Bombyx mori: one gene and its partners. The protein of the gene in region 1 binds, or shares a complex with, the protein of each later gene. Links are inferred from orthologs where the notes say so. Each region holds a gene or a part of one and is shown in the gene's direction. Other genes may lie near its edges.

What was found. Proteins that work in one complex are often made in the same cells at the same time.
Region 2: DNA replication licensing factor Mcm2 (region 1) and DNA replication complex GINS protein PSF1 share a complex: the UniProt entries of both Homo sapiens proteins name them as parts of the CMG helicase complex. The link is inferred for Bombyx mori from reciprocal best matches to the Homo sapiens genes MCM2 and GINS1.
Region 3: the proteins of DNA replication licensing factor Mcm2 (region 1) and DnaJ-10 are in contact, whole or in part, in a crystal structure (PDB 7CJ0), measured with the Homo sapiens proteins. The link is inferred for Bombyx mori from reciprocal best matches to the Homo sapiens genes MCM2 and DNAJC9. Residues at the interface, in NP_004517.2 of Homo sapiens: Glu65, Glu66, Glu67, Asp68, Glu104; in NP_056005.1 of Homo sapiens: Lys185, Arg189, Arg192, Lys244.

Annotation. Positions count from the first base shown.
Region 1 is NC_085113.1:10,851,511-10,854,176, forward strand, and holds part of DNA replication licensing factor Mcm2, read left to right. Parts: intron 1-482; coding exon 483-622; intron 623-2,666. UniProt on the Homo sapiens protein: Acts as a component of the MCM2-7 complex (MCM complex) which is the replicative helicase essential for 'once per cell cycle' DNA replication initiation and elongation in eukaryotic cells.
Region 2 is NC_085118.1:17,161,250-17,165,012, reverse strand, and holds DNA replication complex GINS protein PSF1, read left to right. Parts: upstream 1-1,523; 5' UTR 1,524-1,653; coding exon 1,654-1,725; intron 1,726-1,987; coding exon 1,988-2,052; intron 2,053-2,891; coding exon 2,892-3,342; 3' UTR 3,343-3,458; downstream 3,459-3,763. UniProt on the Homo sapiens protein: Required for correct functioning of the GINS complex, a complex that plays an essential role in the initiation of DNA replication, and progression of DNA replication forks.
Region 3 is NC_085115.1:6,238,777-6,242,539, reverse strand, and holds the start of DnaJ-10 (dnaJ (Hsp40) homolog 10), read left to right. Parts: upstream 1-1,584; 5' UTR 1,585-1,815; coding exon 1,816-1,906; intron 1,907-2,010; coding exon 2,011-2,283; intron 2,284-2,730; coding exon 2,731-2,858; intron 2,859-3,763.

The DNA of each region.
Region 1 (2,666 bases):
TATTTTTTTTCTATTTCTTAGTACCAGAGGAACACTGCTCTTTTGAAATTTGTCCATCTTCAAACTGTGAAAATCGCGGGCGAATTCGCGGGTAATAATTGTAGTGTGTGCGTCTTAAGCGGTTTCACGGTTACAACGGTTAACCGCTCCCGGGAAAAAACCGTAGTGCGGCCTAGGTCTTAGACCTAGGGGGGTCACCGCACCTAACCCATAAACAGACCCCATTAAGTTTTCCGCCGGACCTTCTTAGTGGGTCGTGATTCCGATCCGGCAGTAAATGCATTCTCGAAGCAGCTGCCCTTGAGCTGTTAGGTCTTTTTCGTGGCGCATTTACGTTGTGGATGTCTATGGGCTCCAGTAACCGCTTAACACCAGGTGGGCTGTGAGCTCGTCCACCCATCTAAACAATAAAAAAAAACTAACGAACAGCAATTCATTTTTATATATATAGATTTAAAATGTGTAATGTGTGTGTGTCTCAGTGATCCGCATGTGCGAGGCTCACGCCCGCATGCACCTACGGAGCCAGGTCAGCGAGGAGGACGTGAACGTGGCCATCCGCACCATGCTGGAGAGCTTCGTCGACACGCAGAAGTACAGCGTCATGCGAGCCATGAGACAGGTCACACCGCGCACCATTCTCTACCTACATAGATTCGTTTTTGTGACGAAATCCCGATAGATTTTAACTTTTAATTACATCAATATTAATCTATATATTAATACGTGAAGCAAAAACTTTGTATCCCTTTTTACGAAACTTGCGCGGACGGAAGAGTATGAAATTTTCCACACTTATAGAGAATATAGAGAAGAAGTGCACAATGCTAATTTTGTTTTAAATAATGCATAAAAGATACATTAAATCAATAAAGAAAACATTACATTTGTATTTGACGCACACACGCATGCATACTATTTATTGTCAAACTTTTGTTCTTGACGTCTGTTGTCAAATTGAGAACAGATTAAATATTAATTGTCTTTGTTAATATTTTTTATAGTGTGGTCTTGGCGAAATTTGTGATTATAGAAGTATAGAATACAATCATAATAGTGTACAAACTTGCAATTCCAATTAATTATAGTCGAATTTCGACTACTGCGGGACCTCTAGTAATGTTTAAACCATGATTAAAGTCACAACGGACAGACTGTGATTGTACGTATTTTTACACCAGCGTGACTACAAAATATCTAGTATATTCATACTACTCTAGTCATACGTAATCACTAAACCAGTCGTGCATTCCGGTGCGTGTACAGCTGAATCTTTGTCCTCGTGTCTCCCAGTTGAACGTTTTGTGTTTATAGAATGTAATAAGTACGTGAAATACAAGTGTGGAACTCTGTGGAAATTACCACAAAAAATCTACAGCGGCACCCAAACTGCACCTTTCGTATGTCGCAACGTTAGAACTGAAGTGGTCTAACTAAAAATTTTTACGTATACCGCGAAAGACTTATGTAAACATGTATTCTTTAAGGCTTCGTCAAACAGAACGCGTAATTAACGCGCGTCAGAGCGCTAAACTGACGGCGCGCTATGACGCCGAGATGTGTTACTATCGACGAGATGTACTACTATGGTAATATACTGTCAAACAGCCCTAACGCCGCGACAGAGCGCTGCGTACTTATAGCGCTGGGGCTCTGTTTGACGGTATGTTACCATCGTAGTACAACACATCTCGGCGTCATAGCGCGGCGTTAGTTTAGCGCTCTGACGCGCGCTAATTACGCGTTCTGTTTGACGAAGCCTTAAAGTTTATAAAATACAGTTTTAGTCCAGAAAAGGAAAAACGTACTCTTTCCGTCTCTTTTAAATCAAAAGCTGCATACCTTATGGTATTAAATTTGAAAAACTAAAATATTATAATAATTCTTTAATTACATTTTTGGAGTTAGCCAAAAAATTAAAGTATTTTGAATCAAGCCACTTCAATTATAAAGGCAACGAACTAGATACGAAATGTTATTAACACTCAAAGGCAAAGTAGTTAATGAACGACTGTACAACCGCACGGATTTATTTAAAATAATTCGCATTTGTCTTACGCATGGAGGGTAGAGGTAAGGAGAACCGTCTCTGTGTGTAATAAGTGTCCCTTAAAATCTCCTAAATAAGGGTAAATTTAAAAAAGGCGCTGAAAATTATTAGAATATGATAGAGAAATAAAAAAGGACGAAAGAGCTGTAAGCACTACAAAATCATAAAAAATATGTTATTTAAAACTGATCAGAAAATGCAATCGATGTCTCCACGTTTTACCACTTTTTTTTTTTTTTCATGCTTAGATGTGTGAACGAGCTCACAGCCCACCTGGTGTTAAGTGGTGGTTACTAGAGCCCATAGACATCTACAACGTAAATCCGCCACCCACCTAGATATATAAGTTCTAAGGTCTCAGTATAGTTACAACGGCTGCCCCACCCTTCAATGCGAAACGCATTACTGCTTCACAGCAGAAATAGGCGGGGTGGTGGTACCTACCCGGGCGGACTCATAAGAGGTCCTACCACCAGTGAAAATTTTAGGTTATATTGACGAAATTAGTTTGGACTACGTAAACATGTGAGGTCTTGTATATTAATTACACTGTCACTAACTACTCTACTCATTAAATATATTAAATTTCCTAACTCAGCATATTTCAATCAGTGAA
Region 2 (3,763 bases), on another chromosome or scaffold:
TTCATTTTACAATTATCGACTCTTCGGATCAACAAAACTAGAAGTTGTAATTGTTTGGTATTGTGGCCACAAAAAGCAGACGAACATACGTTACTCATTGAACAATTCCATTGCGTATTATGTGGGAGGGGGAGGGGGGGGGGGGGTTAGGGCGGGGGATATTATCTTGTTGAACACCCAGTAAAACGAAGTCACTTTTTGATTCCTGATTTAATCAACAATATGATAACTTAATTCACTTTAACATTTATCCAACCTTAACCAGTACGTAAAACAGTCACTTAATCACACAATGTAACAAGGATATAGTAAGTGCACCGAGCAAACGCAGTCGGCCGGGGCACCTGGCTTATCTATGAGTCACTCCTGTTGCACGTGCTGTTTTACGAGTGGAGTGACACGGCCGGCGCACCTGGCTTGTGTATGACTCACTCCTATTGCACGTGCTGTATAACAGAAGTAACGTTAACGCCGTCATAGATATGTTACTGCTTATTATTTCTGTGTGTTAACACAACGTAACGACATTGGGAATGTCGTTGGTGTAGAGAGCGTAGAGGATCGGTGACAGGATACCTCCTTGGGGAACCCCAGCTGTGGCTGGGCGCATCCACGATTTAGCGCTCTTGACCGCGACAAAAAGAGTTCTGCCCTCCAGGTACGACCCCAGTAGTCGCACGTAGGCGTGCTGGAAGTCCGTGTTCTGCACCAACTTGCAGATAAGCCCCGCACGCCAGACACGGTTGAAGGCCTTCTCGAAATCGAGAAATACTGCCGCCATGTACTGGCGTGCGTTGGACCGTCAAAAGGTGCATAACGCAGACCAATTGCAGCGTTGTTGAGTGACTGCTACGTATCCAGAATTGCTCGGGTCTGAGAAGGATGTGCGGAGACACTCTTCTCACCAGCAGCCGCTCGAACAACTTGCCCACATACGACAACAGGGTAATCGGACGATAATTGGAGGGCTGTCTTCTGTCCTTCTAAATTCCCGGGAAATATCCTGTAGACAGAATGTAATTAAACAGCCGTGTCTTAAAAGACACGACTGATTCTAGAAAGTGGAAAAATGCAAGGGTGAGAATACCGTCCTCACACAATGCCTTGCGCCTCTTTATCCGCTTGATAAGGAGGCGCAATTCAGCGGGAATGATGAAATCATCATGTCCCAGAGGTGGCACCGGGAGGTTAGTTTGCACGTCGAACACTTTGTTGAGTTCGACGAGTACGGTTATCAGGGTCCCTAAGTCTGCTCCTAATGTTAAAGTTGAAAGCGTCTTTGCAAGAGTAATTGGATCTGATGGTCGACCCGATAAGGAGAGTGAGATTATTATTGGCTGTATTGCTACTAAGTGATTATCTGTAAAAAGTTACTTGTATGACTTAGCTCCCACTTCTAGAAAATTTTAATATCTTAAGATTAGGTTTTGGTATTATAGATTTAAAGATCAAGGCTTCTGTGATTTTCGAACTCATCCAAAAATGATGCGTATCCGATCATAAAATGTCAAATTTACTATCTGTCACAGTCTTGAGCTGTCACTCATCAAATTAATAACAACTTTCGCGCCAATGCCAAAAATGTTTTTATCTAAATTATTAAAGTATTTTGTTTGTTATCTCTCTCATTGTTAAGTAAATAAGTAACACACAATGTTCGCAGAAAAAGTTATAGAACTAATTAAAGAAGTAGATAGAAATCCTGACACAATAGATCAATATAATGTAAGTTGGATGTGCCCATCTAGGTATGGGATTGGAATTAGAATAAACTTGTTATATCTAATGAAAGCTTTAAGTTACTATTTAATACCGAAACCAAGATTTTATCCGGTTGTCATCTATTCTGTTTGTCTATGCATATGCACTATAAAGTCAGAAATCCATTTAGAAGTGACAAGTATATTAAATTATTGTTATAGCACCGCCTATTATTATTTTTGTGTCTTTTAATCTTATAAAGTACATAGTATTTCACATGTTACAGGATGAAAAAATACGCCAAATAATAGAAGAAATGCATTTATTATTTAAATTGAACATGAATGATGCGTAAGTCACTGGTTTTCTACTAATATAACTGCAAGTAGTTATTGTTCAATATGCAAGATTTGCTATGATCACTTCTATTCTGTAACCTCCTATTCTGTTTCATGTGATGCAAAAGTGCTCAGGTAACCTTGTAACTCCAGGAAGGTCTATTTTTGTTTTTTTTTGTCAATCTATTGCTACTAACCTCGAGGGGTTATGCTAGCTTCATGGGATTTGAGGTAGCCCTGAGATCTCTCACCCAATTATGCAAAAAAAAGTTTTATGACTTTTTTGTTTTATAACTCTTCACATTCAAGCAGTTTGGATAACTTGCCCAGCAGATTTGATAGCTTTACTGGTTGTGCTTGAGTAGCACAGATATCTCACCCAGCAGATTTGTTACAGCACTACGGTTATGTATCTGCTTAAAAATACTTTAGTGGACAGGCTTGGCTTCAATTTCTAACCAAATCTTAGCTCAGCTTATTGAGTTTTTTTACAGTGTAGTTGTTTTTTAATAATAGTACTAATTATTGTTTTTGGTATATAAAAAAAATAGAGAAATGTGTGTTTGTTTGTTGATCTTAAAGTACTTTTAAAATGTTTCTCTAATTTGGCCAAAATCGGTCTGAGTTGCTGGTCCGCACAAACGAAAACGTCATTTAGTGCAAAGGGGTTAATATTTTCATGCACTTGAGTCTCATGTGGTGTTGTAATAAGGTTACCTGCTATTAGTCCATTTTAATTTAAATTTCAAAAATATGTAGTTCAATTGCTCATCAAGTTCATTTATAGAAGAAGAAGATAACAACAAACTGTTTTATGATTACCGCTTGTATTAATTGAATTACTATTTTTAGTAATGCTACAACAGAAAACAGATCATTGTGGACCACAGTTCAAGTAAGACATTCTGCCCTTGAACGCAATAAAAGGTGTATATTAGCCTATCTCTACAACAGAATGAAAAAAATTAAGACATTACGTTGGGAATTTGGTGCAGTACTACCTCCAGATATCAGAGAATTGCTTTCTGATGATGAATATCAATGGTTTTCAAAATACTCTGGAAATCTTGCTTTGTATATGAGATCTTTAGGCCAAGATATAGGATACAGTGGCATAGACTTGACTGAAAATTTAAAGCCCCCTAAATCATTGTTCATCGAAGTGCTTTGTGTTGTGGATTATGGTAAATTAGAACTTGAAGATGGTGATGTGGTTATGCTTAAGAAGAATAGCAGACATTATCTTCCTACTTCGGAATGTCAGACTTTAATACGACAGGGTATTCTGAAACAAATAATGTGAATTTATTTTATCAATAGTGAATTTTTGACCATTTTATGTTTTAAATAATATTGTGAAAAATAATGTTTGATGTCTGTATGGAAATAAATTTTATGAGAAGATTATTTTTACCATAAGCTTAGTGATTTGACTTGATTAGATTTGCACCTCCTAATAAAGCAAGTGTGTGTCCATTTTTTTTACTATCCCTGATGGGTGAAAGAGCAGTCATAGTGGCCTAAAGAATATAATGCTTGCTGTAGTCAAATCAAATGATGCAACAATCAATATCATCATCAGCCCCGAGGTCTCCTAATATCAGACTTCAGACTTAGAACTTTTGTTTAGGTGTGTGGCAGCATTTGCGTTTTTGATATTTACGTGCCCTGTTAATGAGCTGGCATTGAAAAAAACTATTTTCTCAAAAAAGATACAGCGCAGT
Region 3 (3,763 bases), on another chromosome or scaffold:
CCGCGTGGCCTTAATCACCCATGCGTGGAATGTAAAACGTTTGGTGACGAATTTCACGCTGTAAGGCATAACAAATATTTTATGACACCAAAGAATTTTCAATTTTGGCATTTGAGATTTGTTTTTAAGTAGTATTCGTGTCCATTATCCTGATGATCTCCGGATTGCGACTTTGACTATCTTTTTTTATTGCTTTCTTGGGTGGACGAGCTCATGGTCCACCTGATATTAAGTGGTTAACGGAGCCCATTGACATATACAAAGTAAATGCCACCACCAACTTGAGATAGGAGTTCTAAAGCCTCAGTTTTTATAGTACAACGGTTGCCCTGCCCTACCCTTCAAACCGAAACGCATTACTGCTTCACGGCAGAAATAGGTAGGGCGCGGTACCTACCCATGCGAATTCATAACCCTCAAATTCTAGTACTCAACTATTATTTTAGAGTAGGGTATTTTGCAAACCGTACATTTTATAACTTTAAGCCATTTGTTTGCATCTTTTTATCTTTTTCGGATCGCATCCATAGCGATCCATAGCAGTGACACTCTTGACAAAAGCCCCGCGGCCACCTTAAGCGAGGGAACTAGGTACCCGAAAGATGAGCAAATCATCTGGCCCACACCTCCCGTGCGTAGCACCGAGACTAATCCGCGCTCGGTTGACACTTAAATCGGATCGACCGGCACCATTTCAATGTCGTGACAGTACATTGCCTTGTCAGGCCCTCGGCATTGGAAAGAAACCGGCCTAATGTACCAGTCATCCTCATCAGTTAAGTACTAGGTCTGAGTTTATCTGGGTCTAGGTTCACTTGTAGGTAGGGCATCTTACGGAGTCTTACGTAGTATGTCTATGCTACGCAGTAACGAATATATTAATCTGTGTTTCTATACTATGTAGTCTGTGAATAAGATTTAAGATCGCGCACGCAGGACTTTTTGGCGGGGAGACTTGGCGAGAAGGATATGTACGTAAATTTTTTGCAACAAAAAATATTTTAATGTAAAAATTGTTTATATTTGTACATTAGTCTTGATTTGTATATAAATAGTAACCGTAAGTTGTTTATAATAAGTGTCTGTATATAACTTGCTGTATATTTGGATATAATATACCTAAAAGACCTGGCCTCGGTCTTTTTGAAAATTTATTTCAGAAATTATAAAGAACAGATAAGGCTGTATGAGCTTAGATACCAAAAAACTTTTTGGCGGGAACGCGAGGAGTGAAGTTGTGTGATTTGTTTTATTTTGTCTATTTAGTGTTTCTTCAGGTTTAAATGTGTACCGTATAACGGTGGTTTATTAAATGTTTAATATCTGTGAAAGTGCATAAATGTGGGAAAATGAAACAAAGCCGCTGGACGTAACTTCTCAGGATCCTCCGAAAGTCCACTGAAAAAATCTCCGTAAATGACCACCATTTTACCAAGATTATATTTCATCCCATTGCATCTCATCTCATATAATTTCATTTAATTTCACTCCATATTATCATTTTTCATAAAAATAAGATTATAAATTAAAATAAGACATGACTTAAAGATCTTAGTTACCAGGTCAAAAAATCCCTTAAAAAAATAATCGCGCGCGCATTATTTTGATTTTGTCATTAACTGAAACAGAACGTATGGTAACGCAATTTCGGAGTATATTCGTTACACTTTTTAACCAATGTACAATTTCTAAGATCCTGATACTTCCGAGCAAGGAAAGAATAATATTTCAACTACACTATATATACTAATAACTTATAACTTTAAGAAATCGTGGTTATTTGGGCTAATAACTGTATTATAAAAAAATCACAAAATGGGTCTCTTGGATTTATGTGAAAAGTATTTTAATTCATCAAATTTATATGAAGTATTACAAATACCCGAAACTGCTAGCGAAAAAGAAGGTAAGAAAGCAACAAAAAAGTCATTCATACTAAATTTCGTAAAATCTTCACACTGCTTACAAATCTATTTTGTATTGTGTATTTAACCATGTTTCATATTTTAGTGAAAAAGGCCTACCACAAACTATCGCTAAAGGTACATCCTGATCGAGTTAGTGAAGATCAAAAACTAGAGGCAACAGAAAAGTTCAAAGTACTTGGAAGTATTCATGAAATACTTAGCGACAAAAACAAACGAGCAGTTTACGATGAAACAAAGAGTGTTGATGATGATGACTTTAATGTCTTAGTAGACAAAGACTGGACAGTCTACTGGAGGCATTTATTCAAAAAAATTACAGAAGAAGACATAAAAGCTTATGAAAAAGAATATACTGGTGAGCTCTTGACTACAAAATGCTTAAATAGATTTATTTTATTTAATGTACCTCATAGAGCCATAACAACCAGAAATCAACAACTAACTTCGATGCCATGAACTTAAACTCTTGTATTGTTTCGTTGCAACCTAAAATTCCCTACTAATGCAGTCTACAGCTATTTTGGGGAGGCAGAAACAACTTATCAACACATGTATACAACACATGATAATCAGCAGAAGAAAAGCTATTCAGCTATTGCTGAATTTGGGCAGTATATTTTATAGACATACTTTAGAAGACATTTAAACCTTTGGAGTAGTCACAGTAGATCAATATAGGTCAGGGTGACTATTGGATCTAGCCTCACCAACCTATAATAATTATATGAACAAGCAAATATTTTTTTACTCCACTAATTGTACTGATTATCTAATACTGAAATTATTAGTATTATTCCCATAGGTTCACAAGAAGAGAAGGATGATCTAAAACAAGCCTATCTAACTGGTAAAGGTGACATGGACTACATTACAGATCATGTTCAATTTGCTAGAACTGAACATGAACCGAGAATCAGGGAAATCCTCAATGTAAGTGATAAAGTACAAAAACGTTCAATCAACTATTATACTTGTATATTTTTTATTACATAACCATCTGAACATTAGTTTCGTAACTATAGTAATGTGTTAATATACATAGTAAGTACGAAAGTTAAAAATTTTGTTGGTTCTATTATAATTATAACACAATTGTATTAACTACACTTCATTCATTACAGCAACTCGTACATGACTGAACATGAACATATCATTCTAAAATATAATTAAACTCGAGTGTTGTAAGTTAAGAAACTTCTGATTAAGTTTTTTTATTGCTTACAAGGGTGAATGAGCTGCGTTCATGCACCTGGATTAAGTGATTACCAGAGCATATAGACATTATAATATGAATACTAGAGTGCTGCCACATGGAAAATATAGACGGGATGATGATAGCTTCTCTTGTGGGTATATGGGCTTACCCTACACCCTACCATTATTAATTATGTAAAATATACTTAGTTATATATTTTTACTACATGGTTTTTTTGTTAATACACATTTTCTTTGAAGAATAGTCCTTGCAGGATTAGAATACTGGAATTAACCAATACTTTTACCTCAAGTTGTATGCGGATCATAATCACTTTGTTCTGGTTATCTTTTAACATCAATTAAAACCATCTAATACAAAAAAATGTTTACCAAGTGAATGAAAACATTTCACATTATAAGTGATTGGCATTTTTATCAAACTCTTGGGGTGTTACAGTGATGGTTTTGTAATTTTAGACCTCACTGTATTGATGCTTTAGTGTTGACTATTAATTAACCCTAATTCTTGAATCATTGGAGTATACTAAATATTTTCAACGAACAGCAACATTTTGCAGCTAACAGCAATTCGAGCTTTAATTGACTCTGCTATTTTTGAAACTCTCATCAGATATCTA